Diceros bicornis minor: one gene and its partners. The protein of the gene in region 3 purifies or fractionates together with the protein of the main gene of each other region. This does not show direct contact. Links are inferred from orthologs where the notes say so. Each region holds a gene or a part of one and is shown on either strand. Other genes may lie near its edges.

Evidence for each region.
Region 1: the proteins of CSTF2 (region 3) and SYMPK purify together in Homo sapiens (affinity purification with mass spectrometry; 4 studies listed by BioGRID and IntAct, with this or other methods). This does not show direct contact. The link is inferred for Diceros bicornis minor from reciprocal best matches to the Homo sapiens genes CSTF2 and SYMPK.
Region 2: the proteins of CSTF2 (region 3) and CSTF3 fractionate together in Homo sapiens (co-fractionation; 4 studies listed by BioGRID and IntAct, with this or other methods). This does not show direct contact. The link is inferred for Diceros bicornis minor from reciprocal best matches to the Homo sapiens genes CSTF2 and CSTF3.
Region 4: the proteins of CSTF2 (region 3) and CPSF2 purify together in Homo sapiens (affinity purification with western blotting; 3 studies listed by BioGRID and IntAct, with this or other methods). This does not show direct contact. The link is inferred for Diceros bicornis minor from reciprocal best matches to the Homo sapiens genes CSTF2 and CPSF2.

Annotation. Positions count from the first base shown.
Region 1 is NC_080773.1:20,037,172-20,045,182, reverse strand, and holds the start of SYMPK (symplekin), read left to right. Parts: upstream 1-4,997; 5' UTR 4,998-5,072; intron 5,073-8,011. Other genes in the region: FOXA3 (hepatocyte nuclear factor 3-gamma), read right to left, coding at 3,941-4,009. UniProt on the Homo sapiens protein: Scaffold protein that functions as a component of a multimolecular complex involved in histone mRNA 3'-end processing. Specific component of the tight junction (TJ) plaque, but might not be an exclusively junctional component. May have a house-keeping rule.
Region 2 is NC_080770.1:35,104,653-35,111,883, reverse strand, and holds the start of CSTF3 (cleavage stimulation factor subunit 3), read right to left. Parts: upstream 3,014-7,231; 5' UTR 2,900-3,013; coding exon 2,873-2,899; intron 1-2,872. UniProt on the Homo sapiens protein: One of the multiple factors required for polyadenylation and 3'-end cleavage of mammalian pre-mRNAs.
Region 3 is NC_080781.1:93,991,978-93,999,294, reverse strand, and holds the start of CSTF2 (cleavage stimulation factor subunit 2), read right to left. Parts: upstream 3,020-7,317; 5' UTR 2,757-3,019; coding exon 2,696-2,756; intron 2,669-2,695; exon of another isoform or gene 2,507-2,668; coding exon of another isoform or gene 2,506-2,506; intron 1,951-2,505; coding exon 1,872-1,950; intron 1,254-1,871; coding exon 1,084-1,253; intron 396-1,083; coding exon 259-395; intron 1-258. UniProt on the Homo sapiens protein: One of the multiple factors required for polyadenylation and 3'-end cleavage of mammalian pre-mRNAs. This subunit is directly involved in the binding to pre-mRNAs.
Region 4 is NC_080763.1:37,946,341-37,953,357, forward strand, and holds the start of CPSF2 (cleavage and polyadenylation specificity factor subunit 2), read left to right. Parts: upstream 1-4,004; 5' UTR 4,005-4,068; intron 4,069-7,017. UniProt on the Homo sapiens protein: Component of the cleavage and polyadenylation specificity factor (CPSF) complex that play a key role in pre-mRNA 3'-end formation, recognizing the AAUAAA signal sequence and interacting with poly(A) polymerase and other factors to bring about cleavage and poly(A) addition.

The DNA of each region.
Region 1 (8,011 bases), on a different chromosome or scaffold from region 3:
AGAATGGAAAAAAAACTGTCAATTATAATCGCTAGACACCATTGACTCTAAAACCCATTCCATTTTCAGAAAGTTCAAATGGGGAAAAAACTTGCGTCTTAGCTCAATGAAATATGATAGACATTGCTATGGCTCTCTAAATAACCCTCTATATACTCTTGCACCCATTCAACAAATATTTATTGGCCACCTACTCTGTGCCAGGCACTGCTCCAAGCACTTCACAGGAAGTCTCCTTTCAGCCTTACAACGGCGCTGGGGGGAGACGGGATTATGACGCCCATTTTACAGATGAGCAAGCTGAGGCCCAGAGAGGTTGTCTGGGGTCACACAGCAAGGAAGGGGCAGAACCGGGATTCTGAATCCAGGCAGTCTGGCTCCAGATCCGTGTTCTGGATTATGCTATACAAGCAGGAACCAAGACGGACTGCAACATCTGTCCCCATGGAGATGATAGTCCAGTGGGAAATGAACAAGATAAGCAAGGGAAAATATGATGCGTGGTGGACGGTGATTTCTCTCTTTCTGTGTGTATCTACCCCTTTCATCCACCGTCTTCCATCCTCTCTCCCTCAATGCTCCATCTGCCTGGCTGCCCTGCTCCCTCCCTCCCCCTGCCCCCCCCCCCCCCCCCCCGCCCCGGGGTCTCCCAGCACTGGGGTTGCTGCTGTAGCTCCGGCGGGAGCCACCTTTGCTATGAGTCCATGGGTCCCTGTCTTGTCCCCTGTCACGTAAGTGTCTGCAGGTCCCAAGGTCCAGAGAGAAAAGGGAATTACCAGGGTCACTCACGAAGTCAGGGACAGGTGGCAACCAACCTAGGTCTGAGTTCCAATCAGAAACTCTCCCCTCTTTCTTTACGTGTCTCCAGGTAGCTCTTTTCTCCCATGTCTCTTTGAATCTCCCTGTTGGCTCTGTGTGTCTCTGTCCATCTTTCTCCCTGCCTCAGTACGTCTACACCCCTCCCTCTCCCACTCCCCATGTCCATTTCCCCAACCCCCCGCTGCCCCACTGTCTTTGCCTTTCCCACTCTCTTTCTCCTCTCCATGCTCCCTCCCTTTATATCTCCCTCTCCTCCCTGCTGTCTCCCCCTGTCTCTCCCTCATCTCTCCCCCTTCTGCCTTTCTCTCTTTGTGACTCTCCCCAACCCCATCTCTCTCCCCTGTCCTCTCCCCTCCCAACCTGTCTCTCCCATCTCTGTCTCCCTCCCTTGGCACTATCTTTCCCTCTGTCTCTCTCTACCCCACTCCTCTCCCACCTCCCATCTCTCTTTCTCCTTCAGCTCATCCTTGTATCTAGCTGTCTCCTTCCCTCAGCACCACCATCTCACCAGAAGTCTCACATGGAAATTGGAGCCCCAGCTACTCCCCTGCCCGCATGCACCGGTCTCCCCCGGGGTTGGCTGGTTCTGCCCCCTCCCCAGAATATGGAAAGAGGGTCCTTCAGAGATGAGAGGAGAAGGTGATGGACTCAGATGGTGATGGACCCCACTTCTCCAGCTCAGTCAGACTCTCTTGTATCACAGAGGAGGACAGACTGGGACCCCAGGGCCCTCCTTTTCTGGCTCCCCACCCACCCGGAAGTCCTCCTTGAGGTCTGACCTCAAGCACTCCAGCTGCCCTAATCCACCCTAGGCTTTCCCACGCCCCGGGGCTGGGATGAACCCCCAGTGTCCGGGTGTGAGCCGGATCTCCCCCGCCAGGGTGGGGTGAGATGGGGGAAGCCCTCAGGGGACCTGCACCCCCACCCCAGGAGGCTGGAATTTCTCCCCTTTCATTTCCTTATTGTCTCTGGAGGAGGGTGTGACAGGGAGCAGAGGGAGGCAGTGTGAAGCCAGAAGCCTAGTTTCTAGTCCCAGTCCCAGCCCAGGACCTCAAGCAGCCCCCAACACTCTAAGAGGCTTCAGACTTTCCATCTCTAAAATGTGGGAGCAGTTGAACCAGCTGATCTGTGAGATCCAGAGGCCAATGGGGTCACCCCAGGGTGATAACTTCCCAATTTCCTTCCAGACAGAGAGCCAGCCTGCGGGGGTCAACATCATCCTAGCAGGAGGGTGTGGTGGGCAAGAAGCAGTTTAGGGGCCCTCTCAGTTTTCTGTTGCTGAGTGAGCCCAGATGTTTCTCTTCCCATTGGTCTGACCCAAGGGGAGGAGATGGCTCGGCTGATGAGAAAGCTGGGGAGACCCTCAGACGGTATTTCCATTTCCAGCCCCCCATATGCTGACTCTTCCAAAATATGCCCCCAAATGCTGATCATCTCTAGACTGTCCCTCCATTTCTGACACAATTTCCACACCAATTGTCCCCTAAACTTCAGACTGTGCCCCAAATAATGACTTCTCCATCCTAGACCCCCACAATCTACTTCTGAAGATGTGCCTCCAAAACAGATTTGTGGTTGGTTCCCTTAAATCATGTCCCCAGAGTCTGAACTCTCTGGGGGTAAACCCAGTGGGATCCCCCACTACCTAAGAGCCTCCACGTCCAAGCTGGTCTCTGCCTTCCCCACCAAACAACTGACACCTCCAGCCGCCCCACCTCCACCTCTCAACAGTCCCAATCCCTTCCCTGGCCAGCCTGCCCCACCCCACGTGCACCTCACACCTCTGCAGCCCCAGGACTGGCCCCTCCTGGGCACCTTGCCAAGTTCTGAAGGCCTGGGGATCCAGGAGTCCCACCCTACAGCTTCAAACCCCAGACCCAGGACTCAGGCACACTGGGGCCCCTGTAACTTCCAGATCTCAGTCTCCTTGGAGAACTCAACCATTCCAGCCCCACACCCCCACTGAAGCCCGCAGTCTCCTTCCAGGTTAGGAACCCAAGTGTCCAGACCCCCATAAGCCTCTGACTAGGACTCTGCCCCTCTCTCCACTTCGCAATGTTGACTATGGAGACAGTGAGCTAAGGAGAAGGAGTCCTTGCAGTAAGAGGAATGGGAGTTAGACTTAGAGAAGGACTTGCTGTTTGCTGAAGTGAGGGGACTAAGATATACTCCCGCCCCCTTACTCCAGGGTGGCCTTGTCTGAGATGAGACTGCTGAGGACATTAGCAATTACTGGAGATTGCTGGAAGGAGGGGGGTAGGTGCGAAATCTGAAACCCTCCAGCCTCCAACAAGTAGAATTCCTGCTGAGGGTCTCTAATAACCATTAAACCACTGAAGTTCAGTTGGGAGGGGTGAGGGTCCTAAGTAGCCATGGGGGGAAATGGAGATTGATCCCTCTCTGGCCAGTGCTATTGCTCACATCTCCTGCTCTCAGGTTCGCAATTCTGACCCCACTTGGGCCCCTACCTATGTGAACCCCAAACCAACCCACCTGTTATTTCAGACTCCCCAAGGCAAGCTTCTTCTCTGAGCATCCCCATCTCTTATCCCCGAGCACCAACCTCAATTTCTGAACTTATCTTAGATTGCTACCCGGATCCTTAGCCCTGAACCCTAATTCTGATTTCTACCTCAGAACCCCCACCTTTAACACTATATTCTAACCCTGAGCTCCCAAGTCAGACTTCCCTTAATGGTGACCTCTCTCTCCTATCTCTTAGTTCCCGTCTTTCCCCCCAATTTTGAATCCCATTTCCTAATCCTCCAGCTCTGTCCCCTGTCCTGGAGCTCTGATTCCTATCTTTGATTTGTTCATTTTAATTCCTTGGATTTTAGGTCCCTAACACCCAACCCTGACGTTTAAGCTCTGACATGACCGTTGCCTAAATTTTCCTGACTCCCATTTAAGCCCTCACGCGGACTAGCCTACCTAAACCGCGCTCGCGTGCCTTGTCCCCCGTCCCTGACTCCTACACCTGGTCTTCGTGTCTCTAGTTCCTCCGCTCCTAAACTCTAGTTGGGGCCCCCATTTGAGCCCACACCGCGGTCCTTGCCCCCACATAAGCCCGCACCCCGATTCCTGCCCCCCATTTCCCGCTCAGCCATCCCCGAGGACACACCTCGCCCGCCTCCGGGTAGTAGCTCCATTCGGCCAGGTCATGGGCCTCCATCTTCACCGAGCCCAGCATCCCCCGGGCCTGCGCCCCCCCCCGCCCCCGCTCCGGCCCGGGGGGACCGAACGCTTCGGATCTCTCAGCCGGCACGGCCCGAGTTCTGACCGGGGCACGCCCGTCTGACCGCCCGGGGTCCCAGCCGTCCCGGGCTCCGCGGGAGGCGGCCACGCTTTATAGCCGGGACACCCCCCCGCCCTCACCCGCCCCGGGCTCCCCTCCCGCCTCCCCGAGGGCGGCGCGCTCGGACTGGGGCGCCCCCTGCGGGATTGCGAAGAGATAGACCTCAGGCGTCGGGAGCCGCAGCCCAGGGACGCGAGAGCCGGAGATGGCAGAAGAGTGAGGGAGCTACTGGTGGGAGACACTACTGATGCTAAGGGCCCCGAGGGCAGAACTCTGGGGCCCTTCTACCCCAGGGGGTTTCATCATCTCGACAGGAGAAGCGAATAGCCAGAGCGCGGCATGACCGCCGCGGAGGAAAGGGGGCTCAGAGCGCAGTGCACTCCAGGGATCCGGATATGCCAGTATAAGGACCAGTAAGAGACCCTCGAAACCATATTCTCATTGATCGCACTGGAAGACTGAAGCTTCCGACAGCTAGAAATGCTCCAGACTGTGTAAATGGTCAGGACCAAAGGTGGATGGGATCGGGGCCTCTGCTCAGATCCCAGTGGGGCAACAGACCACCTCCAAGACCTAGGAGCTTCGCCGCCCGAACTCGCCACTCCCTCTAACGCCAGCCGTCCAGGGACTGAGAACCTCTGTGAACTCCATTTCCCAGAAGCCTCTAGCTCCCTTTCCGTCCCGCGCCTCCGCCAAGGGACTACATTTCCCAGAAGGGATGGCGTCAGGAGGCCGGAAATGAAGAGCCGCCCGGGAGTAGTCTGGGGGAGGGCGGAAAGCCACTCGAGAGGCGTGAGGGAGGGGCGGGGTCGGGCCGCGGTGTGGACTGCATTTCCCGGCGACCCTTGTGTGTGCGGCGCGTGCGCAGTGTCACGGCGGCGAACGGAAGATGGCGGCGGCGGCGTCTGTGAAGAGGCGCTGCTGAGGGGGCGCGAGGGGTACGGAGGCCGGAGCTGCGGTGAGCGGGGGGGCGGCGTGGGGGCCCGGCGACGAAAGGAAGAGGGACCCTGAAGCGGCAGGGGCGCCGGTCGGGGGTTGGGGGCGCTGTGAAGAGGGGAGCAGTGACGTTCGGGACCTCACTGTCTTCCCCTGCTCAGGACCCTCCCGTGGCTGCCCAGTGGCCTCAGGCAAAGTTCCAACGTGGCCCCCGAGGCGCGTCCGCCCCGCCGGCCTCGACTCTGCCTCTTTGCTCCTTCCCCACTTCGCACAGCTGCACTGGCCTTCCGGTTCCTCAAACTCGCCTTGCGCCTTCCCGCCTCAGCCTTTTGCACACGCTGTCTCCCTTTTACCCATTCCGCCTGGCTGACTCCCATTCATCTCTCGGGTCTTGGCACCGACGTCACTTCCTCTGCGAGGCCCTCCTTTCCCGCCCTCCGTCCCGAAATCCGCAGGCTGAACGCTCTCATAGGTCCCTGTTCCTCTCCTTCATGTCACGTGTGGTCTGGTTTGTTATTGGACCTGTATTGGTGCGGCTGTTTGATCGTGTCTGTGACCGTGAGCTCCACGGGGGCAGGGACTGGGTGGGTGCTGGTCACACCGAAGACACCCAGTTAGTGTTCGTTGAATGAATGAAAGATCCTCCTGGGGCCGCTCTGTGTAAAAGAGGGAGTCGTCATACTCCCAGGTGGGAGTGGGGGAGTGGTACTCCATAAGGAGTGCACGGGAGAGAAAGGAAACAATCATGTTGCTGATAGCAAACGACTGCAGACTCCTCGAATGTTCTTTAATAGAGACACTGGCAGGAAGAAACTGATGACATGCACATAATAAAGTAAAATATAAATAAAATGAGAGAGGAGGGAAAAAGGAATGAGGAAAATCTCTATACACTGATATAGAGAGTGGGCTCCAGCATATATTAAGTGAAAACAAATGAAATGGAAGACAGTGTTTATTCTGTGCTGCCTTTTTACAAAAAAAAAAAGGAAAGTATGTGTATGTTTAAAAAGAATAAAAGGATAAGCCAAAAAGTGGAAGAGGAAGGACAGAGAGTAAAACATTTTGGTGGATCTCAAAGTATTATCATCATGAAAAGAGTGGAAAGTTTCGTCGTGAAAGCTTCATTCTGTTCTGATGGGGGACAGCAGTATGCTGGTGTCGGGTGGATGTGCCCCTTGGCTTCCATGAACAGACCTGGGGTGGAGAAGCACTTCCTTTCAGAGAGGCGTACAGCAGAGTGTTGAAGAGGATAGATTCTGCGCCCATAGTGCTGGTCTGCATCTTACAATCTATGAGCCTTCGGTCAAGTGACTTTACCTCCCTGGCCTTCAAATTTCTTTGTCTGTTAAATGGAGGTTAAAAATAGTACCTGCCTCCAGCCAGCCCCAATGGCCTAGTGGTTAAGTTTGGTGCCCTCTGTGTTGGCAGCCCAGGTTCAGTTCCGGGCGTGGACCTACACTGCTCTGTCAGCAGCTATGCTGTGCTGGTGGCCCACATGCTGAAAAATAGAGGAAGATTGGCACAGATGTTAGCTCAGGGCGAATCTTCCTCAACAACAACAACAAAAAATAGTACCTGCCTCAAAGAGTCGGTGTTGGGGAGGGAGAGGAAATTGAAATTTGAAGTAGGGTCATCAGGGAATACCTCTCTGCTGGGATATTTGAGTTGAGACCTGAAGGAAATGCGGAAGGAGGGAGCTGTGCCAGTATCTGGGGCGAGGAGTATTCCAGGCAGAAGGAAGAGAAGGACAAAGGCTTTGAGGAGTGGGCATGCTTGGCATGTTCAGGGGACAAGAAGGAGGCCAGAGTGGCTGGAGCAGAGAAAGCTGGGAAGGAAATGAGGGCAGAGGTAAAAGGGGCCAGATCATATAAGGTCTTGTAGGCTTATAGTGGGGACATTGGTTTTGACCCTAAGCAAGATGTGGGGGTGAGTGGCAGCAGGGAGACTAGGAAGGAGGCTGTTGGATAGTCATTCATTCAGCAGACATCTGGTGAGTAACTCTTGTATACATTACATCATGGTCCTTTTGAAAGATGCATCTTCTTACCCTCCTCAAATTATTGTTAACAGTTTGTGCAGTATCCTTCAGATCTTTTCTGTGTACATAAAAATAGTAGCTATACTTACCTCACGTTCCTAACTCATCTACCCCTCAGAAGAGTCCTGGGATGGAAAGACTGTTCCTATCTCTTTTACAGAAGAGGAAACTGAGACCCCACTGTTTCTTGCCTTAGGTCATTCTGCGTATACTACACAAACTTGACAAAATTGCATATATTTTTCTGTGGTGCAGCAGGCTGTCGGGACATCTTTTTATGATGATAATACATTGAGATCCACCAAACTTTTTTTTACCCTTTCCTCCCATTTCTGCCTTTTGGTTTATCCTTTCAGTTCTTTTCTTTTTTTAACATGTATACATATTTCCGTTTCTTTTGCAAAAAAGGAGAATACAGAAAACGTCTTCCACTTTGCTTGTTTTCACTTAATATTTGCTGGAGCCCACTGTTTATCAGTGTGGAGAGATCTTCCTCATTCTTTTTTCCCCCCTCCCTCATTCCTTTTTACAGTCGCATGGTATTTTATTATGTGGATATATCATGGTTTTCCAACCAATCTCCCTATTTAAGAACATTTGGGTTCTGATAGTCTTTTGCTATTAGGAATAGTGCTGTAGTTGATAGCCTTCTTATTTCATAATTTTGCCAGTGTGGCTTTGGGACAGATGCCCAGAAGTCTCCCCCCTCCTTTTTAAAAACAACTCCGTGGGCCGGCCCCGTGGCTTAGCGGTTAAGTGCACGCGCTCCAAGTGCACGCGCTCCGCTGCTGGCAGCCCGGGTTCGGATCCCGGGCGCGCACCGCTTCTCCGGCCATGCTGGGGCTGCGTCCCACATACAGCAACTGGAAGGATATGCAGCTGTGACATACAACTATCTACTGCGGCTTTGGGGGGAAAAA
Region 2 (7,231 bases), on a different chromosome or scaffold from region 3:
TTTGCTTCTAAGTAATAGGGGTGGGGAGAGCAAGCGAAAGCATGGAAAAAACAAGATTAACCATGAGTTGAAGCTCTACTTTTTTGCATGTTTGAAACATATCAAAAAGTTGAAGAAAAGATTATATGAAGATGACTCTCTGTCGGTAATCAGATGTTCAAAAATATCTTTTTAGATCGATGGAAAAAAGATCCAGGAGCCATCATAAAGGTTAGGATAAGTTGAGCATCCAAAAGAAAAATGGCTATAGGTGATTTTAACATACTATTAAATACAAGAAACTCTTGAGACCACAGTGATAATCTTTAAAAAGGAGGGACGGGGGGGACAGGAAATTCCTTCTTTACAGAGAAATATGAGCCAGTAAACAGAGACAGAATAACAGAATTTTTTTCCCCCTTTTTCTCCCCAAAGCCCCAGTGGATAGTTGTTATGTCATAGGTGCACATCCTTCCAGCTACTGTACGTGGGAAGCGGCCTCAGCATGGCCGGTGAAGCAGTGCGTCGGTGTGCGCCCGGGATCCAAACCCGGGCCCCAAACCCGGGCCCCAAACCCGGGCCGCCAGCAGCGGAGGGCGCGCACCTAACCACTAAGCCACCGGGCCGGCCCCCAGAATTTTTAAAAAACTACCATTTCCCACCTCCAATGTAACAACTGATTTATTCAATGATTATCAATTGATGATAAATAACTAGGTAAAAGGTTATTGAGGAACATAGTATCAACCCACAGATTACTAACTGCAAAAGGGGAAATAACCCTTTACAATGAAGAGATCCACAGTCATTACCCTAACCAAGTGATCAAACTTAATCATCACTAAATAGTGGAACAACCTAGCATGAAGTGCCTTTGGATGTAACGTTATAAAGTATTCTATCCAAAAATATTTAACCCAAATATTATCAAAGTTCTGAGTTTACACCTAAACATAAAGTTTTCAGGAAATACAGAAGATGAAGGGACAAGTTAAATGACACCACACACACAAAAATCAAATAAACCCAGAAAATGAAAAGTCCTACAAGAAAACTGTCCCGGATTCTTCAACCAGACATTATCCTAGGGGAGACAAAAACAGAGGAAATATTCAAGAGTCATAACCAAATGATGTAATGTGAACCCAGATTAAATTCTGATTTAAAAAAAAAACAAAAACTGTATGAATCACTTGGGACAATTGGGGAAATTTGAATATGGACTTGATTTTATAAATGATACGGTATTACTATTAATTTTTTTAGGTGGGAAAATGGTATTACGGTTACATAGAACGGCATTAATGTCCTTATATAAGAGAATGCTGAAACGTGTCCACTGACTTTCAAATAAATATGTACAGAGAGAGAAAGCAAATATAGCAAAACGTTTAATAGTTGTTGATTCTAAGTGAAGAACTGTACTGTAGGTGTTCACTGCACTCTTTCTCAACTTTTTTCTATGTTCTAAACTTCGCAAAATAAAACTTTTGGATGAAATTTTTTTCTCTTAAGTTTTCACCACCAGCTCTCCCATTTAAAACACCACAATTGTGAACTATTCCAGGTCATAGCAACATTTCAGTGTCATTACAATTTTAGATAAATTTAAGAATTAACAATGGATTCCAAAAACTTTCAATGAAACCTCAGTACATTACTCCTCCTCAACTTTCAGATGACAAAATATGAGCCCAGAAAAACAGAAAGGGTAGTTATATATAAACAGATTTGATATAATTTTAAGATTTGGCATTTTTGGCTATTCTAACAGCATGTGAAATGTAAACACTGCGAAGATTTCAGAACTGAAATCAATCGACAAGCAAACACAAAATTCAGTTTAGCCAAACTTTCTCGACATAATGCAATTTACAGTCACCCAGACTACTCGACGGGAATGCTCGAATTTTGCCTCGTCTCTGTCAACCTCCAAGAACAGCCTCCACGTTATAAGCTGGGGACTTGAAAAACGAAAACCTAAGTGTATTTCGTTGCTATGGCAAAGGGAAATTTCAAGAAATTGAGACTCCGCAGGCTAGCCAGCCTCCATTTTAAAAATTATTTACCTAAACATACCAGGACTTACATCGATAAACAAATTGAATGACATCTTTTAAAACATCAGCTTCCTCTTTCAAACTAAGAGATAAATACTATCCTACAAAATTCTGAATAAAGAACAAAAGAACTTGTTTATCTAAAAATCTGAATTTCAAAATATTTAAGCGTCACTTATATGCAATACTAAAACAGCTGCTTTTCTTTACAACTTATTCTCACTTTCGATGTATCAAATTCTGCAATATTTGTATCGCTGGAAAAACGAAAATGAAATGTGGATAGAGAAAGAAGAAAGCGGGAGAACGCCACAAAATTCCCAAATCTCAGCATAACCATGCTCTACTCCCAAACTTCCTTCTGCATTCGCTCTTGCAAGAATCTATTTCTCCAATTAGTCTCATCTTAATTTCTTCAACTAGTAACCTATTTCTGGGTACAGTATATACAGCAGAGGGGACGGAGGGAATATTGTTGAGTTTTTCGAAAACAGCGGGTACACGTTAAAATAATCAATTCCTAACGTCAAAACGGTATCAAAGGCAGGCATCCCATCGGAGTAGTGCCACGAATTTAAACGGCAGGAAGCGGCTTCCCGGCTATTGTCTAAGTCAAGTATTTGTTCATATGAGCGCCTAAGACAGAAAAGCCAAAAAATAATTTTAAATCTCGGTCAGATCTTGCTCCCATTCCCACCACCCCTCTGCACGCGGTCCTGCGGGTTCATTAGACCCGCGACTCCTTCCTCGGGCGAACATGGCTGGAGTACTCGGACCAACTGAGACGTGGAGAGAAGAGGTCGCCACGAGGCCCCACCACTCTCCTTCCTCACCTGTTCCGTGGCTCCGTCTGCTGACATGGCCTCAGCTGATTAAAAGGTGCGAACTGGCCCGCGATGCGAAGCTAGAAAAGAAAAATTAAACTAAAACCCACCCCCAAACCAGTCAAGTTACCCCCTGCCCAGCGGAGCCAGACCGCCAACACGAAACGCCACCGCCCACTCAGATATGAATTAAAATGGCTGCGCCCCTGCCGGCCGAGAAGGGAGGTGTGGCTTCTGCATTCACTTCCGGGGCAGCGGGCGGAGCTGAGAGCACAGCTGACCGGTCACTCGGGCGCGCAGAAGCAGAGAGGTCCCAGGGGCGGGCCCAAGGTCTGTGCTGACGTCACGGCCCTGGGGGGAAAAGGCTGCTGCGGCGCTGGCTGCCACCGGCGGGGAGGCGGGAAGCCGTTCCGCCTGGAGGCTCGCGCGCCTTTGGAATGGAATCGTCGAGCTGTGGGGAATCTACGCCGCTGTAGCCTGACTGCCAGTCAGTTCAGTTCAGGCAGATGGCCACTTGGGGGGAATGCCGTGTGAAATGACTCCAATATTTTGGAGATGAATCCATCGAGGTTTTCTATGGTCTCGGCTAATGCTTTTTACCCTTTTGGGGGATGAGAGGGACAGATCAAACCGTATTAACATACACCGTTACCACCTGCTATTGTGTCTGAGGCTGTGAAGACAGGCAGGCCGCGTTTTAGGCTCAGCGTCGCACCGTGGTTCCTCGTCGGCAAGGTGGGGATCATAGCGCTCAGGCTCCGGAGCTGCGTTGTCTGTGCTGCCTGCGGCGCACTAGAGGGCTGACCTCCTCACTAGCGGGGTGACTTCGGGCGACTGAAATTCCCCAAGCCTCAGTTTCCTGGCCTACGATAGGAATAACAGTAGTACTTGCAATTTAGGTAAGTTACACAGGAGAAAGTGCTCGAAACAGTACCTGGCGTAGTTTGAGATTACGTGAGAGCAAGTCTCAAATTCTTTCATTCGAGGCTCAGCATGCGATGTCTCCTTCCACCCTCCTTCCCCACAGGGGCCTACGCCCCAGACCAAGTCAGCTTCTCAGCTTTCCCCATACATGCCTTAACTCTGCTCAGTCGCCCCGCCTCTGCACATCTTTTCACCTCCGCTCTTTCCACAGCCTGAATTCTTACCCTTCCGAGTAATCAGACACAGGCAAAAGAGGTATGTTAACATGTTTATCACACCATCCAACAATACAGGACTAGTTAAATGTATCTCTATAATGGAATGGCATGCAGCCAGTCAGCTGATGCTGATACACAGTTACTGACAGAAAAAACATCCATCATATTGTTAAGTGAAAAAGCAGAAAACGAAAACAGTGTATATTAAATAGGATGTGTAGTATAAATATGTAGTATACACACAGTAGTTCAAAACATGAAAAGTAGTTATCTCTAGATTGTCACAATTTTTCTCTTTTTATCTGCTTCTGAGTTTGTCTATGATGAACTAATGGAAGAACAACAGTCCTGAAGAATAGTATTCAGGGTTCCGCCCGGGGGCGCAGTGGGTAAGTTCACGCGCTCTGCGCGGTGGCCCGGGGTTCCCTGGTTCCGTTCCCCCGTGCGCACGGGCGCACCGCTTGTCAAGACGTACTCTGGCGGCTAAAGGAGAGGACGATGGGAACGGATGTTAGCCCAGGGCCCATCTTCCTCAGCAAAAAGAGGAGCATTGGCGTCAGATGTTAGCTCATGGCCAAGCTTCCTCACACAAACAAAAAGAAGAATAGTATTCACATTCCATTCTTCAAAGTTTGACTCAAATGCCATCTTTCCGCAATATTTTTAATGAAAAACTTAGATAAAAATTCAAAGAATAATGCAATAGATACCTGTACTGTATCCCCACCATCTTGATCTACTGACTAACATCTTGGCATGTTTGCTGTATATGTATGTATTTATAGATATAGTTTGTGTTTTTGCAAAATAATTTGAAAGTAAATTATAGACATAATGATACTTTATCCCAAAATAATTCAGTTTGTTTTTTCTGAAATGAGGACACTCTTCGTATCTACAGTACCATTATAGCACCTAAAAAAATTAATAAGTATTTCCTAATATATACTATTCAGTCCATATTCAAATTTTCCCAGGTATCCCAAAAGTGTCTTTATAGGAAGTTTTCACAAATCAGGATCCAATCAAGTTTCAAGCATTGCATTTCGTTGTTATATCTCTTCAGTCTCTTTTATTCTAGAAATAGTCCACTCATCTTTTTATCTTTTATGAATTTTTTGAGAGAGCTGGCCAGTTGTCTCTAAGAATATTCCATCTTCTGGAGTGATTAGATTCAGGTTAAACATTTTGGCAAGAATATGTCATAGGTATAGCTATGAACTTCGTTTTGTATGACATCAGGAGATACATCAAATTACTGATTGATGCTAAGTTTGATCACTTGTTTAAGGTGGTGACCATCAGATCTCTCCATTAGGTACAGTTCACTTTTTGTAGTTAACAAGTAATTGCAGAGTAAGACTTTGGCGTGGTGTCCATTTCCTGTTCCCCTGCAAATTTTCACCAGGGTTTGGTCGTCTATTGATTAATCTTTCCTGAATTAATAATGAAATATTTGGTGATTAAATAAAAATGTTCTAATTCCATTATTCCTTCTATATCAATAGAAAGCTCTTTTGTGAAAAAGTCTTCTTCCTCATTAACCTTTAAAAAACAGGGTAAATGCTTAATTTTTTCCCTTTAATGACCAATTTTTGAAGTAAAGAGTTCAATTTAATATTAAACTTCAAGCTTTAATATTAAGCTTCAAGTAGTGAAAAATGAATTTTTTTTTCTGGCTTTCTCTTTTTGAGTATCATTGTGGATTTATGAGTTTTTTAAGACGTAAGTTGTTTCAATCAATTGCAATCATTATTCTTTTGGGGCCAATACGAGTCCCTTCGTACAGGGTGAGTGGATCCTATGTCTTTTTGACATGATGCCATTAGTCTTGGACAACTTCTTGGCCTAGTGGTACAGGATGTCCCAGGCCCACTTATGTACTTTCCCTGTCACAGACTTGGACTCAGTCTCAGGCATCCTGGTTCCTTCAGTTTCGGAATAGTAATTAGACTCAAGATGTGGGCAGTAGATGTTCTCTTTGCCACTGGATGTCATTGCTTCTAGGCTTTTTCAGTGCTCAGAGATAGGAAATGTATTTTTTAAATTATGAGTTCGTATATTGATTTCCAATTCAAATTTAACATTTTTTTCTTTATTGATTTTACATTTGTATCTCTTTTCTCTTATGCTGAAAATCTTGGTTCCTACAAAATATATTTAAAAGTTTCTAAGTTAAAATACCAATACTAAAATATCAATATATCAATAACACTGGGCCGGCCCCCGTGGCTTAGCGGTTAAGTGCGTGCGCTCCGCTACTGGCGGCCCGGGTTGGGATCCCGGGCGCGCACCGACACACTGCTTCTCTGGCCATGCTGAGGCCGCGTCCCACATGCAGCAACTAGAAGGATGTGCAGCTGTGACACACAACTATCTACCGGGGCTTTGGGGGAAAAAAAAAAAACAGAAGGAGGAGGATTGGCAATAGATGTTAGCTCAGGGCTGATCTTCCTCACACACACACAAAAAAATCAATAACAATACATTTGCTGAGTGAGGTTTAAGATTTCTTTAAAGTTCTTTTTGTCCTTAGATTATGTTACATTAAGGATGTTCAGTCAGAATGCCTTGTACAAAAGTCACTTGAAATAATTCTTCTCTCTCGGAGTTTACCGGAGCAATTTGATATATAGTTAAGTTCAACTCTTTCCATTTGTTTTCAATTTTAATGTTGGCTTTTTTAGATGTAATTTTATTTTTAAATCTGAAAACCCCGTTATTTGGCTCAAGAATCAAAACTATGTAAAGAGGTATTCTCAGAGAAGTTTTCACGTCAGTCTCTATCCCCTCCACCCACTCAAACCCATTCCCATCCTCTATAGGTAACCATTTTTATTAGTTTTCAGTTTAATGTTTCTAGTGTTTCTTTTTGTGAAAATAAGCAATGCATATATTTCGCCTTATTTCTTTCACAAAAGGTACACTATTGTACACCTTTTTTACTTAGTTTATTGTGGATGTCACTCCCTACCAGTAAAGTAGGGAATGAAATAATGAAAATAAAGATTTTCTTCCATCTTTTTTTTTTAACATTTGCATCGTACTTCACTGTGTGTTAATTTTATTTATTTATTTATTTTTTCCCCCAAAGCCCCAGTAGATAGTTGTATGTCATAGCTGCACATCCTTCTAGTTGCTGTATGTGGGACGCAGCCTCAGCATGGCCGGAGAAGCCATGCGTCGGTGCGCTCCCGGGATCCGAACCCGGGCCGCCAGCAGCGGG
Region 3 (7,317 bases):
ATATCTACATCTGATATCTATGGGCCACAAAAACCCAGCCAGATTGTGTAGGTGTGTTGGTGTAACAAAAATGGAAAGCTCTTTGCATGAAATGTGAAATACACTGTGCACATATAGAATATTGAAGGTGCAAGAAATGGTGGTCAATAGGCACACTTTCTATTTGAGCTCAGAGAATCATTTCCATTAACTTTATTAATTAACTCCTTGTAAATCTGATGTGATTTGATTTATTCATAACCTAATGCCTCCTCCCACCTTCATCTGTTTCATCAGCTCAAACATCTGCTCTGGTGGAAGACTGGCAACTGCTTTGCTAATGGACTCAGGGGCATCCTCAGGACTGATGGTCTCTCCATAAGGTGATTCAATGACAGGGGCACCAGTGCCAAGGCCTGATCAGGAAGAAAGTACAAAATGGTTAAGAAGACAAAATAAAGAGCTAAACCACTTCAAGTATCTACTTTCCAGGGCTGCTGTAAGGACCTGTTGATAACTTTAAATTCTCTGGAGCTGAGAAATAAGTGATTTACGAGTCTCTTATTTCTGTGGAGGAAGTGAAGGAGTGTATTTTCTGCTCTCAGAGGAAAGCTGGGACACATGGGTGGACAATGTTAAATTAGGAATGAGGCATATCGATTTCTTTTGACAAGTCATTAAGCAAAAGATTTAAACAGAAAAGGATGTTAACCTCAAAATGGAATTCCTGGATCTATTACCTCATGAAAAAAGTCATAAGAACGCCTTAGTAGTCCCACCATTTACAGATCTGGCATAGTTACAGGAATGGCAAACACTAATGACATAGTTAACACTACTAATGGCTTGGTAAGCCTGAACTCATCTTTAACTGGAAATCAACTCCCTGGCAACTGAAGGACTTCTAAAGTCAACTCTCTAAAGTCAATTTTACCTTGTCTCTCAAAGATATACACTTCCCTAATGCAGGCATTTCAGATGGGTCAAGTAAAGAAAGTGTGTGGCTAATCACTTCAGCAGATGCTAAAACATATCATAAATGGAAAATCTTCATTGTTACATCTTTACTAACTCATGTTACATACAACTTGGGTTTATACTCACTCTTTAGCTCTTCTTTGTTCTTTTCACTGGCAGCATTGTCTACTCGAAGTGCTCTCCCACTGAATTCACGCCCATTCAGGTTTCGCATGGCACTAAGTGCCGTCTCTTGGTCTTGGTATTCACAGAAGCCATAACCCTTTGGTTTTCCTGTCTCCCTATCATATACCAATCTGGAGAGCAGAACCAAGTATCAGGCACAAATGTTACATACACACAGGGTTCCTGCTAACGTTGCTATGTCCTGATCTGGTCCACTGTAAGACAAATAACCTCATCACTCTGCCTCACTGAAATATTTTTTAAACATTTTTTTAAATGAAAAAAATGGGGGCCGGCCTGGTGGCAAAGTGGTTAGGTTCACGTGCTCTGCTTCGGTGGCCCAGGGTTTGCAGGTGTGCATCCCGGGCATGGACCTACACACCGCTCACCAAGCCATGCAGTGGCGGCGTCGCATATACAAAATAGAGGAAGATGGGCACAGATGTTAGCTCAGGGCCAATCTTCCTCAGCAAAAAGAGGAAGATTGCCAATGGATGTTAGCTCATGGCCAATCTTCCTCACCAAAAAAAAAAAAAAAGGAAAACAAAAAAAAAGAAAAAAAATGTACCTTTTAGTAAAATTAAATGTGAATTGAATGGTACATGAATTATACCTCAATAAAGCTGTTACAAACAAAAAAAAAGAATGCATGTATAAAGTCACCAGTAAAAACCTTGCCACTATTACTAAGGGCCAAATTTGTGGGGCTTTTTAAGAAACTCTCACCAAGGAGTAAAAGGGGATCTCACCTGAAACTAACAACAGGTCCAACCTCAGAAAAGATGTCCTTTAATTGCTCTTCAGTAGCCTCATATGGAATGTTCCCCACTAAGGAAGAAAATAGCATATTAAGTTCTGAGTTTGTAACCTAGATCTTTATAGTGAGAAAGTACACAGTGTCTACTTATATCATTGAAAATGTAACAACTGGCTCAAAATATGGTGTTTCTCCAATCCCAGTTCTGTGGTACTCCCTTAGACAAGATTTCAATCTTGCCTGCTAACTTTAATTACAAGAGAAATAAACCACTGAGACTAACTACAAAAGGTGTAGGCACTCCTAAATATCACTTCTCAGACTGATCTGACAAGTGTTAGATTTTCTTTAACTTTGGTGAAAATAAATACTTAGGCATTGGTATTTACCTGAAAGTCTCCAAGTCTTAACAACAACAACTAAAAATATCAATATTATAATTTTTAAAACCGGCTTCTATGTCCGTATTTCCACACATACACACACTCAAAGGAGAATGACCATGAATGTAGTGGAGGATGTTTAAAAATTATTCTGAACTGTTTTGTCATGTCCTTCCAAAAGGTGCTTTAAATCATCACATGTACTTTGATAAAAAAACAACTTATTTCGGCTGAAAACATTACTCAGAATAGATTCGATCCTCTTTAAAATTTCTTTGACGAGGTCTTAGTCGTTCATTCATTCATTTATTTACAATCCACCTTAAGATGCCAGATGGTCGCTACCGTTATCGACGAACTAAAATGTTAGGGGCAAAAAGCAGAGAATGAAAGTCCTCATGAGAAGGCGGAAAGTGGGCACAAGGATCTATACCTTCAGCACATAATCTGTATTCTGGGACAGGGAGTGAGAAGTAGTACGGGACAGTTGCCATGCGCCCTCGCTTCTAGATAATAATTGAAGCTCATGGAAGGAGAAACACATAGAAGCTGAACGCTATTTAACTTCCTCAGGCACATCGTGGAAAGGCTGCGAAACCTCGGGGTTAGGGGAGCGTCACTTTGCCCACGAGTCCACCAGGTTGGCCGCCCCACAGGATAGGCAGGTAGAGCTGCACGCCCGACCCACAACCGGCTCCCGCGGCGATTCACGAGGTGCAAGGGACACTCCTCGCCATTCCCTCTCTTTCTGTCCCCCACCGATGCTTGGCTCCACCGAATTCCTCTCACCGAACACCGAACGTAGAGAACGATCCACCGCAGGATCTCTCGCAGTCAAACCCGCCATCGCTCTCTTCCGGCGGCTTCCGGTGCGCCAGAACACACTTCCGTACGGCGCGCGAGTCCAGCGCCGAATACGCTTCCGTACGGCGCGTAAGCCGGAAGCGCCTGGGCCGGGCGGACAGCGGGCCCCTCCCCTGGCGTTATTCCGTCAGCAGCAGGCGCGCGTTATGTCCACGAGAGCGCTAACCCACTCTGGCTGGGCTGTAGCTCCTTTCGGAGCCGGATTCCGGCGGCCCCAGGCTCATTTGAAGGATTTTAGTTTGTAGAATTCCTTATTCATTTTTTTAGGCTAACAAGTAATCGTCGGCCTCAATAAAGATGGCGGTAGCGGTTTTACCATGGTAAGGGAAGTCGTTTGCTAACAACCGGTACTTTCATTTTAATCCCGCCCTGTTAGGGGAGGGGAATACTTGGCCCCGCCCACCAGCGTGGGGATTATCATTTTGTAGAAGCTGTGAGTGTACGGAGTGAGATGCGGAAAGAGGGTCGCGGCAGCTTGAGAGAGTGAGGGGCTCTCGACGTGAAGGCGCCGGCATAGCGGAGGAGATGGGGAGGTAAAGGGAGACGTGCCTGGCTGCTTTCGCATAGCCCCTGGGCTCCGTGTGTTTGGCGGTGGTGAGGCGGTGGGGCGGCGGAGGACATTGGCAGGCAGGGTATCCGAAAACATCATTGACCGGTGGGACACAGCAAGCAGCTAAAGCATGGTTTGAACTCAGGTTGCTTTGGCTCCAGAGGCTGAATGCTTAACTGCTGTATTTTCTGCCTTCCAGTATAACTGAGAGAATATGGATAGCTCAATATACTTTATTACCATTTTTGGAAAAGAACTGAGAGCGTGTGACCTGGTGATGGTGGGTCAATGACTAATAGTAATGAACCACTCAAGAATGGGTTGAGGCACTTAACCTGGCCTGTTCTGCTGCCATCAGCCGTCTGTGGAGAATGGGTTGTTGGTTCTATCACTTCATCAACCAGCCCTATTCTACTAGTTATAAAAGAGGAGATGTGTGGGAGGGATATTTCCTAAGCTTTTGCTTTTCAACATTTGTGTTTCGTTTATAGGCCATGTGCTAGTGACCCCTGCCTCAGTGCCTGTTGTCCACGAGAGTCTTCCTGTCACTGCAATGCTCCCAGAGTGACACATTTCTTTTGCCTCTGGGTTATAGAAAAATGAAGACAGAAGGTGGGACATTGGATGCTGTTGTAGGTATTCTGACTGAGGCTCAGTTAACACAACGATATAGGTGCAGTATGAAGAGGTAGGGGGAGAACTAGGAAAGATGCATTTCTACACAAATGGGGCTAAATATATAGAATAAGTGTTATTTTGGGGGGTTTGAGCAAAAGAGAAAGGGTACATAATGGAGAATCAAAGAATTTGGGAAACCACAGTTAAGATTTGTGGGGCATTGGCAGAAAGTTTTGTGGAAAAGTCCTGAGTTCTTATCCTATCTTGTTGATGATGTTAAGAATCTTGGATAAGGTACAAGTGAAGCAAGCAAAGATGTTCAAGATTGTGAGAGCATAGAGACTCGGGTTCTTTCTGCTGGCCGTAGAAAGTCAAACTTCCAAGGCCAGGTAAGTACTACTTCATGTTTGACCCACATTTAAAGCTCCTCAAAGAGTCATGGAATGAAATCCCTCATTGGTCCTCCAGGGAATATCTGGAAAGGCAGCAACTCCTGGATAGACATATTGCATGAGAAAGATTCCAGATGGCACTGTAGCATTACCTATGTTAGGAGAAGTCCTCAATGAGCAGCGCCTAAAAGAGCTAAGGAAACTTGGGTCTCTCAGAGAGCACCTGAATGCTGACACAGATCCTGGTCAGTATCTGGGTGTAGGTACCAAGTGGCTTGCTTTGCAGAAAGAAACACCATTCCTAACTTTTGCACTACTGCATTATCACACTGGTTCTGCAGCAATATCTATGCTTTCTGGGAATATGTGAGGGTTCAACTCTGAGGTTACAGAGAGTTGTCCAATCCATCACAGCTGGTCATTCTAGTCTTGTGATTTTCATTTTCATTTTTTTTTCTTATCTAACTATTTTTGTTCTCAATTCATGCTTAATGAATACATTTCCTTCCCCAGAATCCTCTTCCTTCAAAGAAATTTCAGGATTGTTCACCTGCTCAAAGAGATATGCCTTATGAGATATGTTGCTGGGTAGCAAGCCAGGGAGTTAGGTGGTCAACTGAAGTGGAGGAATATTTACTTTGTTCTTGGCAATGCCATGGTGACCTCCTGTTGCTGAGTGGGGACTGCTTCCAAGCCAAGCTTTGGGGAAAACTGAGTAAAGAGGAGAAAGTCCCTGAGTTTTTTTCCCTAGAATCCACCAGGCTTGTCTAAAACTTATATCTATTTGGAGGCTTGCTCTGTTTCAGAACCAGAACTATGGGACACTGTTGCCTTGGCACATGAAATCCAGGATTTAGCAAAATGGAGGTGGATATCATTGGACAGCACTTGAACTCCAACAGTATACTGCTGGGTGAGCATAGCTGGGTAGAGCATGTGGGTAATGGGATCAGGTTGGGGTAAACAGGGTGATAATGACTAAAAAGAGCTAATGTTTGTGAAGAGCCATATAGATTACAAAGCTTTTCTACATAGATCTTACTTGATTCTTATAAAACCTCAGAGATAGTTTTAGTTTGCTATTTTTTTTTTAAAGATTTTATTTATTTATTTTTTCCCCCCAAAGCCCCAGTAGATAGTTGTATGTTATAGCTGCACGTCCATCTAGTTGCTGTATGTGGGACGCGGCCTCAGCGTGGCCAGAGAAGCGGTGCGTCAGTGCGCGCGCGGGATCTGAACCCGGGCTGCCAGCAGCGGAGCGCACACACTTAACCGCTGAGCCACGGGGCCGGCCCTGCTATTTTTTTTTGTTCTAGTGAAATACACATAACATAAAATTTACCATTTTAACCATTGTTAAGTGTACAATTCAGTGGCATTAAGTATATTCACATTGTGCAACCATCATCTATCCATCTCTAGAACTTTTTTATTTTCCCAAACTGAAACTCCATGCCCATTAAACACTAATTCCCCATTCTTTTCTCCCTCCAGACCCTGGCAACCATCATTCTACTTTCTGTCTCTATGAAGTTGACCACTCTAGGTACCTCATGTAAGTGGAGTCATAACAGTCTTTTTCCTTTTGTGACTGGCTTGTTTCACTTAGCCTAATGTCTTCAAGTTTCATCCATGTTGTAGCATGTGTCAGAATTTCCTTCCTGGGCCGGCCCCGTGGCTTAGCGCTTAAGTGCGCGTGCTCCGCTGCTGGTGGCCTGGGTTCGGGTCCCGGGCGTGCACCGATGCACTGCTTCTCCAGCCATGCTGAGGCCGTGTCCCACATACAGCAACTAGAAAGATGTGCAGCTGTGACATACAGCTATCTACTGGGGCTTTGGGGGAATAAACAAATAAATAAAATTATAAAAAAAAAAAAAGAATGTCCTTCCTTTTTAAGGCTGATTAGTATTCTGTTGTATGTATACAAACAAACACATTTTGTTTATCCATTCATCCGTTGATGGACACTTGGGTTCCTTCCACCTTTGGCTATTGTGAATAATGCTGCTATGAACATGGGTGTACAAATACCTGTTTGAGTCCCTGCTTTCAATTATTTTGGGTATATACCCAGAAATGGAATTGCTAGATCGTGTCGTAATTCTATGTTTAAGTTTTTGAGGAACCGCCTTACCATTTTCCACAGTGGCTGCACCATTTTATATTCCCACCAGCGATGCACAAGGGTTCCCATTTCATCCTCACCAACAGTTGTTATTTTCTGTTGTTTTTTTCTTTATGATAGCCACCCTAATGGGGTGAAGTGGTGTTCCATTGTGGTTTTGATTTGCATTTCCCTACTGTGTTGGAAAAACCTACCATTCTCCTCTCCTGTGTGTCTCCTTTACTTTCACACAGAGCACTTCACTACTGACAATTCTGGTCACCAAACGTGTGGGGGTTTTTCCCCACAATAAGCAATTCTCTGTGACACCTGCTGGGTATCCTACACTTGAACTCAATTCTGCCACTATCTACTTGGAGATAGCATCAGATCCCACAGGTTACAGGCTCTGCCACAAGACTGCCTGCATCCTACTTCAGATGCCAGTTGCAAGTCCAGGTTGTCTTCTGTGCTTCTCACTGATTGGCTATGAATCAGAGGTTCCAATGACCCCCTCCTCGGGTTCA
Region 4 (7,017 bases), on a different chromosome or scaffold from region 3:
GTTTTCCGGTTATGACATCCTCAGAGTACTCTTTCCAAAAGCAGCCAGGCGGAAACGAAAGTCCAGCCGCCCACCGTAAAGAAACCCCTATTTTTCTTCCCTTTCCCCGTCTCCTCCGCTGGAAGCCTCAGGAAGCCCTGGGCCGCTCCGGCCCTGGCGAGGCCCGGACCCCCTCCCATACACACACAGAGGTCTTTCCTGGAGACGCACCCTCCCCGTCTGCACAACCTGCGACCCCAGACCCACCTGCGGCCTCGGTGCCAGCAACGACCCCACGACCTAGGGTAGTGGCGACCCAGCCACCGGCGCCGGCGGAAGCTGCGGCCTCGGGACCTACCATTCGCCGCGCCCGCTCGAAGAGAGGGGCGGCACGGGAAATCATCCCTCTTCTTCCTTTTCATGTTTGATATTTCTCAAATTATTTTAGCTTTTACACATCATAAATTACTTAAAGATAAAATTTCAGTCCCAGAGAACGAGACTGGTTGGTGTAAGCGCCACCTCCTTCCTATAGCTTTGGCCCCACCCCCCTCGAAGATGGTATCACCCTGGGTCTTCCCCGCCTCAGCCGTGCGCCTCCAGTTTCAAAATGGCGGCCGCCATTGAGGGGCCTCTGTTGGCGGATCTTCACGGATGGTGCTGAGCGAACGTCAGCTTTTCTCACTCTTGAACCTGAATTCGACTAGGGGTTGGGCAGGGCAGTGGACGGCGTTGGGGGAGGACTGACGAGGCAAGTGGGGGCGGAAGAAAGTGCGCCTTTGGATGGGGGAGGGGGCGTCTTCGGCCCTCCGGGAGAGCCTGGCTCCAACTCCGACCGGGTCTCCTCTGGGGACGTGCTCCCGGGGTTTCGGTTGCGACTGTCCTGGTCGTTCCTGGCAGAAGTGCCCAGCGAGGGAAAGAGAAGTGGCTTCTCCAGGGGTCTGAAGCTCTCGGGCTTTTGGAGCAGACCGTACGGCTCACTCCCAGGCTCTCCTTCCTTCCTTGCTGCTGTTTCCCTTCGCCCTTTCAGTCTCGGCGCAGGAGGAGTTAATCCGACGCCAGCTTTGCTCCTTTGGCTCGTCGTTACCGTGTTCTCAGCCTTCTCGCTCGGGGTCTTCCTGTCTCTCGGGTTGAGAGATCACGAGGCTACCCAGCGGTGGGCGCAAAGTGGGCGTCCTTTTTAGTTAATCGACTCCGAAGACCTTTTAGATGTCGCTGTGCTTTATTAAAACCGTCTCGGCCCTCCAGTTCCCTCTCTCCATCACTTCCACCATCACTGCATTGTGCACGCTCTTCAGCAAACAGCAGTCAGACTAGCCATAACCCGGCAAGTCTGGCCCCCTGTGCCCAGGGGAATCTGAGTTATCAATTGTCCCCCCCCCCCCCGCTTTTAAATTTTACAATCCCTTTGAACCTTTTAGGAAACTGCTGCCCTCCCCGAACTGACCAGGGAGAAACTTTTCGCGCTTAGTGAGCTCGAGAGCCAACCCAGATTCCTTCGTTCTTCCCTTGGATTTTGTATAGTTCCTCTTAGTTGGCGTCAACAAGCAAGGTCATTATTGAGAGAGCAAGTAACTGCGATAGATCTTTGAGATGAAGTAGTAATGCTCGGAATCACTGCCGTGAAGGAATGTGTATGGTTAGGGTTCATTCCATCTTTCAGTACACATTTATGTTGCTTTGAGCACTATGCTTGGTATTGCCCAAAGATGATCACTTTTACTCTTTGGCAATACATTCAACAAATATTGTTTGTGCCTACTTTGTGCTAGGTAAACATAAATAACGGCCTGAGGACACCAAAAAAGCTTTGTAAAGGAGTAAATATTTGAGGTGGGTCATGAAGGGTCTAAAGGAATTTACTAGGCTCAGGAGAAGGTCATTCCTGGATGCAGTACAGGGATGCAGGGACTTGAGAAGTTTGGTGTACTTAGGGAGAGGGAAAATATATGTGCTTGAGCATGCAGTGCAGGGGTGGTTGGTGAAGCAAGAGGAAAGTTGAGATCAACTTGTGAAGGACATTGATTTCCAACTAAGAAGTTCAGATTTAATTCATTAGTTAGCAGGAAGCCAGTGAATACTTTGCACAAGGTAGGGGCATGAGTATATTTTAGGATGGTCTCTGACAGCTGTGTGGAGGGTCAACTTGGAACAGGAAAACTAGATGAGAGGAAATGGCAATCATTCAGGTAAGGCAATGAGTGCCTCAACTGAGGTAGGATAGTAAAGGATGTCAGAGAGACATGTCTGAAATGTCAAATAGAGTTCAACTGGGGGCAGCCAATTTGGTGGTAAGAGGGTGACTCCAGAGTTTTTAGTCTGGAGACTAAATGGTTGGTGATTCCATTAAAATCAAGCCAACGACATGTACATAAATATAGAGTGGTGCCAACAAATATAGAGTGGTGCCAACCTGCACTTTAGGAGTGGCAGAGGATAATGTTCTACGGTCCAAAGCATCGATTTTAAGAGTCTAGACCAGTGCTATTACAGTAGCCACAAGCTACATGTAGCAGTTGAGCACTTGAAATTGTGGTTAGATCAAATTGAGATGTGCTGTAAATATAAAATACGCAGTGGATTTTGAAGACTTAGTATGAAAAAAGAAGATAAAATATGTCAATTATTTTTTAATAATGATTACATGTTGAAATGACTATATTTTGGGTATATTGAGTTAAATAAAATATATTAAAATTAATTTCACTTTTAAAACTTTTCACTGTGGCTGTGAAAATATTTTAAATTACATTTGTGGCTTGCATCATGTTTTTGTTGGACAGAGCTGCTGTAGCCTAGACTAATGATAGAGGAATTAGGAAGGAGGTGGAATTTGAGCTGGGCCTTGCTGCTCCCTTCAATGCCAGTTAAGGCATTCAGGTTTTTGTTTTTAGTTTTTTCAAGCAGTAAGAAGCCTTTCAGAGATTTCTGGGCAAGGGATAATATGTGCAGGGGTGCTTCTGAAGATTAGTCTAGCAGAAATATTTAGGTTAAGATGAAGGGAGGAAAGGCTGGAGGCAAACAGAGAACCCAAATGTAAGGTAATGAGGCCCTGCATTAAGGAACTGGCAGTAGGAATGGACAGGGAATGATACGTGTGCCGGGCATTCTGAGGGAAAAATGCTCAGCAGTAGGTAATACACTGTTCAAGAAGTAAAAGAAGGAATCAAACATGTAGAGTTTCAGACCTTGGTTACCTAGATAACGACTAATGAATTCATGTCATAGAATTATAAAGTACATTTGAGGCTAAAGAAATTTAGTTTCAAAATAAAACCAGCAAAATTGAAAGGAGGAAGTGGTCTGCTAAATACTCTCCCCTTTTATCTCCCTGGTTTCTGTATCTTCTTATCTCATCAGTCATACACATCAATTAATTTTCTTAAAATACAGAATTGCCTGTATCATGTCATCTTCTTACTTGATAATGGATCTTAAAATGTTTCTCTGTTGCCTGTAGAGCTAGATCCAAAGTTACCAAGGCCTTTTATTATCAGGCCCTTTTCTATGCATTAGGCCTTTTCTTTCATTTTTTGCTTATATGAAAATGTGCCAGGCTAGTTTTTTCACTAGTATTCTGTAAATTTTTGTTTTGTGCCTTTGATCGTGTTATTCCCCTGTTTTGAGTACCTTTTCTCTTTGTCTCTTTGTACCCAGGTCCTACCAACCCTTAACAAATATTTTAAGATCCCACCTCTTTATGATTCCCTGTAACATAAACTAATGTCAATTTTTAAAATCTTATTTCCTAAACTGCATATTGCAGCCTCTGATAATAACTAATTTGGTTCATTATTATTTATTTTTGTCTTTTGTTATTATCTTTTATTATTTTATTCTTGTTTTATGTAAGCTTAAACTTCCTAAAATTATGGTTTCTTTTTTAAAAAAGGACCATATATTATACTACTTGTTGCTGCTCACAGTGTTCATCTTAGAACAAGACATAGAAGTTAAACACCATAATTAATAACAGAAGTAAATTGTTATACCATGTTCATGAGACCCTTGTTTCTTCACTTTTTAGATTTATAAAGAACTCTTCCTTTGAATTCATGGTGTTTCATCCGATATACGACTGAGATATCAGTAAGTAATGAATATCTAATAAAGATATAGTTTTATTATATTATGAGAAATTGTAATAAAAATATATTTTCATCTGTTGAAATCTGGGTCTGTCTGCAAAAAAATTTAACATGAACTCATTCAGTTCTATCTGCAAGATACTTTTTATTTTCACTTCGTAATCTAAATAAAGACAGTGAGAGTTAAGGTAGATTTCAGTAGAAAAAGAGTTTCTCTTAGGCCATGAATATAATTGTGGTACAGGAAGCTTTCTGGCAGTGAGAATTTCTTAGGTCCTTTCCAAAATTATATTTATAAACATTTTTCATCAAATAGAGAATTAGTATCTTTGTACTTCTCATACCTGACAAATAGGAACATGTTAAGTCAGTATATTTTTAATTTGAACTTGTTTGTTTCAACAACAATTTATTGACCAACCACTATGTGTAAGACGTGCTAATATAGTAAGGATACAAAAATAGATCAAGCCTAGTCCTGCACTCAGAGAGCTCTCCCAAGCAAGGGGAAATGCATGCAAATAGGTAACTGTTAATAGTGTGGTGAGGGCACTAAGCTCAGGTAATACTAGTCATGCTTCATGCATTTATTCAAGAGGCATTTGTTGACCGCCACTCTGTGTCAGGCACTATGGAGGCACTGGAATATAACTGATCCAAATAGACAAGGTCTGTACTTTCATGGAGTCCATATTCTAGTGTAGGGGTTAGGAAGAGAGAAGAGGACGGACAAGGAGAGTAAACACAGACGTTGCCAGAATAGAAAGCAGGAAGTATTTTGAGGGCGTTAGAATGATGTCATAGGCTGTAACTGAGGTGGGGAAGGACGTTAGGGTGGTCAGAAAACTGTGTCTGAGAGAATTAAGTTTGAGGCAGGGAAAATAGACAAACTAGTTAGAGGTCTTGGTGACAGTGGAGATAGAAGGAAATTTGAGAAATAAAATGGAGGCAAAAAATGCAGTACTTACTGATGGATTGGATGTGGGAAGCAAAGGAAGGAATCAAGGACGATGCCATCAGAGATCAGATGATATTTAAAGCTATGGAACTGGGTGAGATTACCTAGAAAGAGAAGAAAAGAAGTCCTGCTGAAAACCATGGCCACATTTAGAGGCTGAAGAGCGAAAGAGGAATTAACAAAGGAGATTGAGGAGTGGCCAGTTAGGTAGAAGGAAAGCCAAGAGAGGGTTGACACAAAAGCAGAGAAAGGAGGGCGTTTCAAGGAGGATGGAGCAGTTCATTTGACTGAATGCTGCTGTGATTTCCAGAGAGTTGAGGCCAGAGAAATGTCCATTGGCCTAAGTTGTATAGAGGTTTGTCAGTGACCTTGGTGAAAGCACTTCTAGGATATCGTGGGGAAAGATGCCAGATTTGGTGGTGTGAATGGGAGGAAAGAAAGTGGAGACATGTTTGTGGGCAAATATTCTGAGAAATGTTGCTGTGAAAGGGGAGCAGAAATGAGGAAGTGGTTGGAGGGATTGTAGGATTAAGAGAGGGTTATTTTAAGTTGGGAAATTCTAGAGTATCTTTGTATGCTAATAGGAATGGTGCATCGATGATACATAGATGATGCAGGGGAAAGAAGGAATGACTGAGGAAGTTCAGTCCTTGAGAAGGTAAATGAGAATGGGATCCAGAGCACACATAGGACACTGGCCTTGGACCAGAGCAGGGCTCTTTATTCCATATAATAGGAGACACAGCAGTGTACACGCAAATAGGTTAGTAGATATGGTATTGGAAGATGAGAAGTGACTGTCTGATTACTTTTATTTTCTAATTGAAGAATGAAGTGAGATTACCAGCTTTGAGTAAGGTGGAGGGGGTGGTACATGATGCTTGAGCAGAGAAGAGATGTGAAATAACAGTCTCAGAGATGGAAAGTCAACCTACTAAGAAAAATCAGATTCATAGGTAGCGCTTAGTGCCTGTTTGAGATCTTTGGTCATGAATTTAAAGAGCAAACAGCACAGTTGTGTGATTGGGTTTTTTCCTTTGGCAGCGTTCAGCTGCTGGAAAAGACAAAGTGAAGGACTGGAGTCAGTTAGGGTTGGGGTTTTGCCACGCTAGTACAGAGAAGGGCTAGGGCATCAAGGTACTTGAGAGTGTTTGCAAAATAATCCTGAGGGATCGTGGATTGATGGCAAGACAAGAATGGAGACAGGAGGGGGTCATGGATAGTGAAAAAGTGGTCAGTGGGTTAGAGATACCAGTGAGGCCAAAGGATTTTTGCAGTGGGAATGCTAGAGTAAGTAAGGTGGTAGTGAGAGGGTGAGGTGCTTGAACGTGAAATTTTGAAAGTGGCATGGCTTATTGGTAGTGATAAGGTCTAGGGTGTAAACGTGATTGTGGGTGGCTGAAGTGAAGTGAAGATTGTTGGAGTTGAGAAAGTCAGGGGACTAAGAAGTCAGTATTGAAGCTCCTGAAAAAAAAAGGCTGAGTCAGGAACTCAAGTCCTCAATGACAGGTCAGATTACTGCATACCAGCGATGATGAGGAAGTGGAGAAGGCTCATAGTGAACTAGCTGGGTAGCGTGAGCTGTGATGGGACTGGAGTATTTGAAGGGGGAAGGAGAAGACATGGTTTGGAAGCTGCAGTGAGGAGCAAGGAACACATACCTCCTGCTTTTGCGGTGCAGTAGTCCCCCCTTATCCAGGGGGATACGTTCCAAGACCCCCAGTGGATGCCTGAAACCGCAGATAGTACCAAACTTTATATATACTATGTTTTTTCCTATACATACATATTTGAGGTGCAGCAGAAAAACTAGGACAAATTTTTTTCCTTCACATTTTCACAGAAGATTCCTTCTTACTGTAGATCTTGGCAACCTCAGCATATGATTTTTTTCTTTCCTTATTAAGTCGAGAACTTGCACATTTTCACTTAAAGGAAGCACTTTATGGCTTCTCTTTGGCATATCCGAATTGGCAGCATCAGTACCCTTGC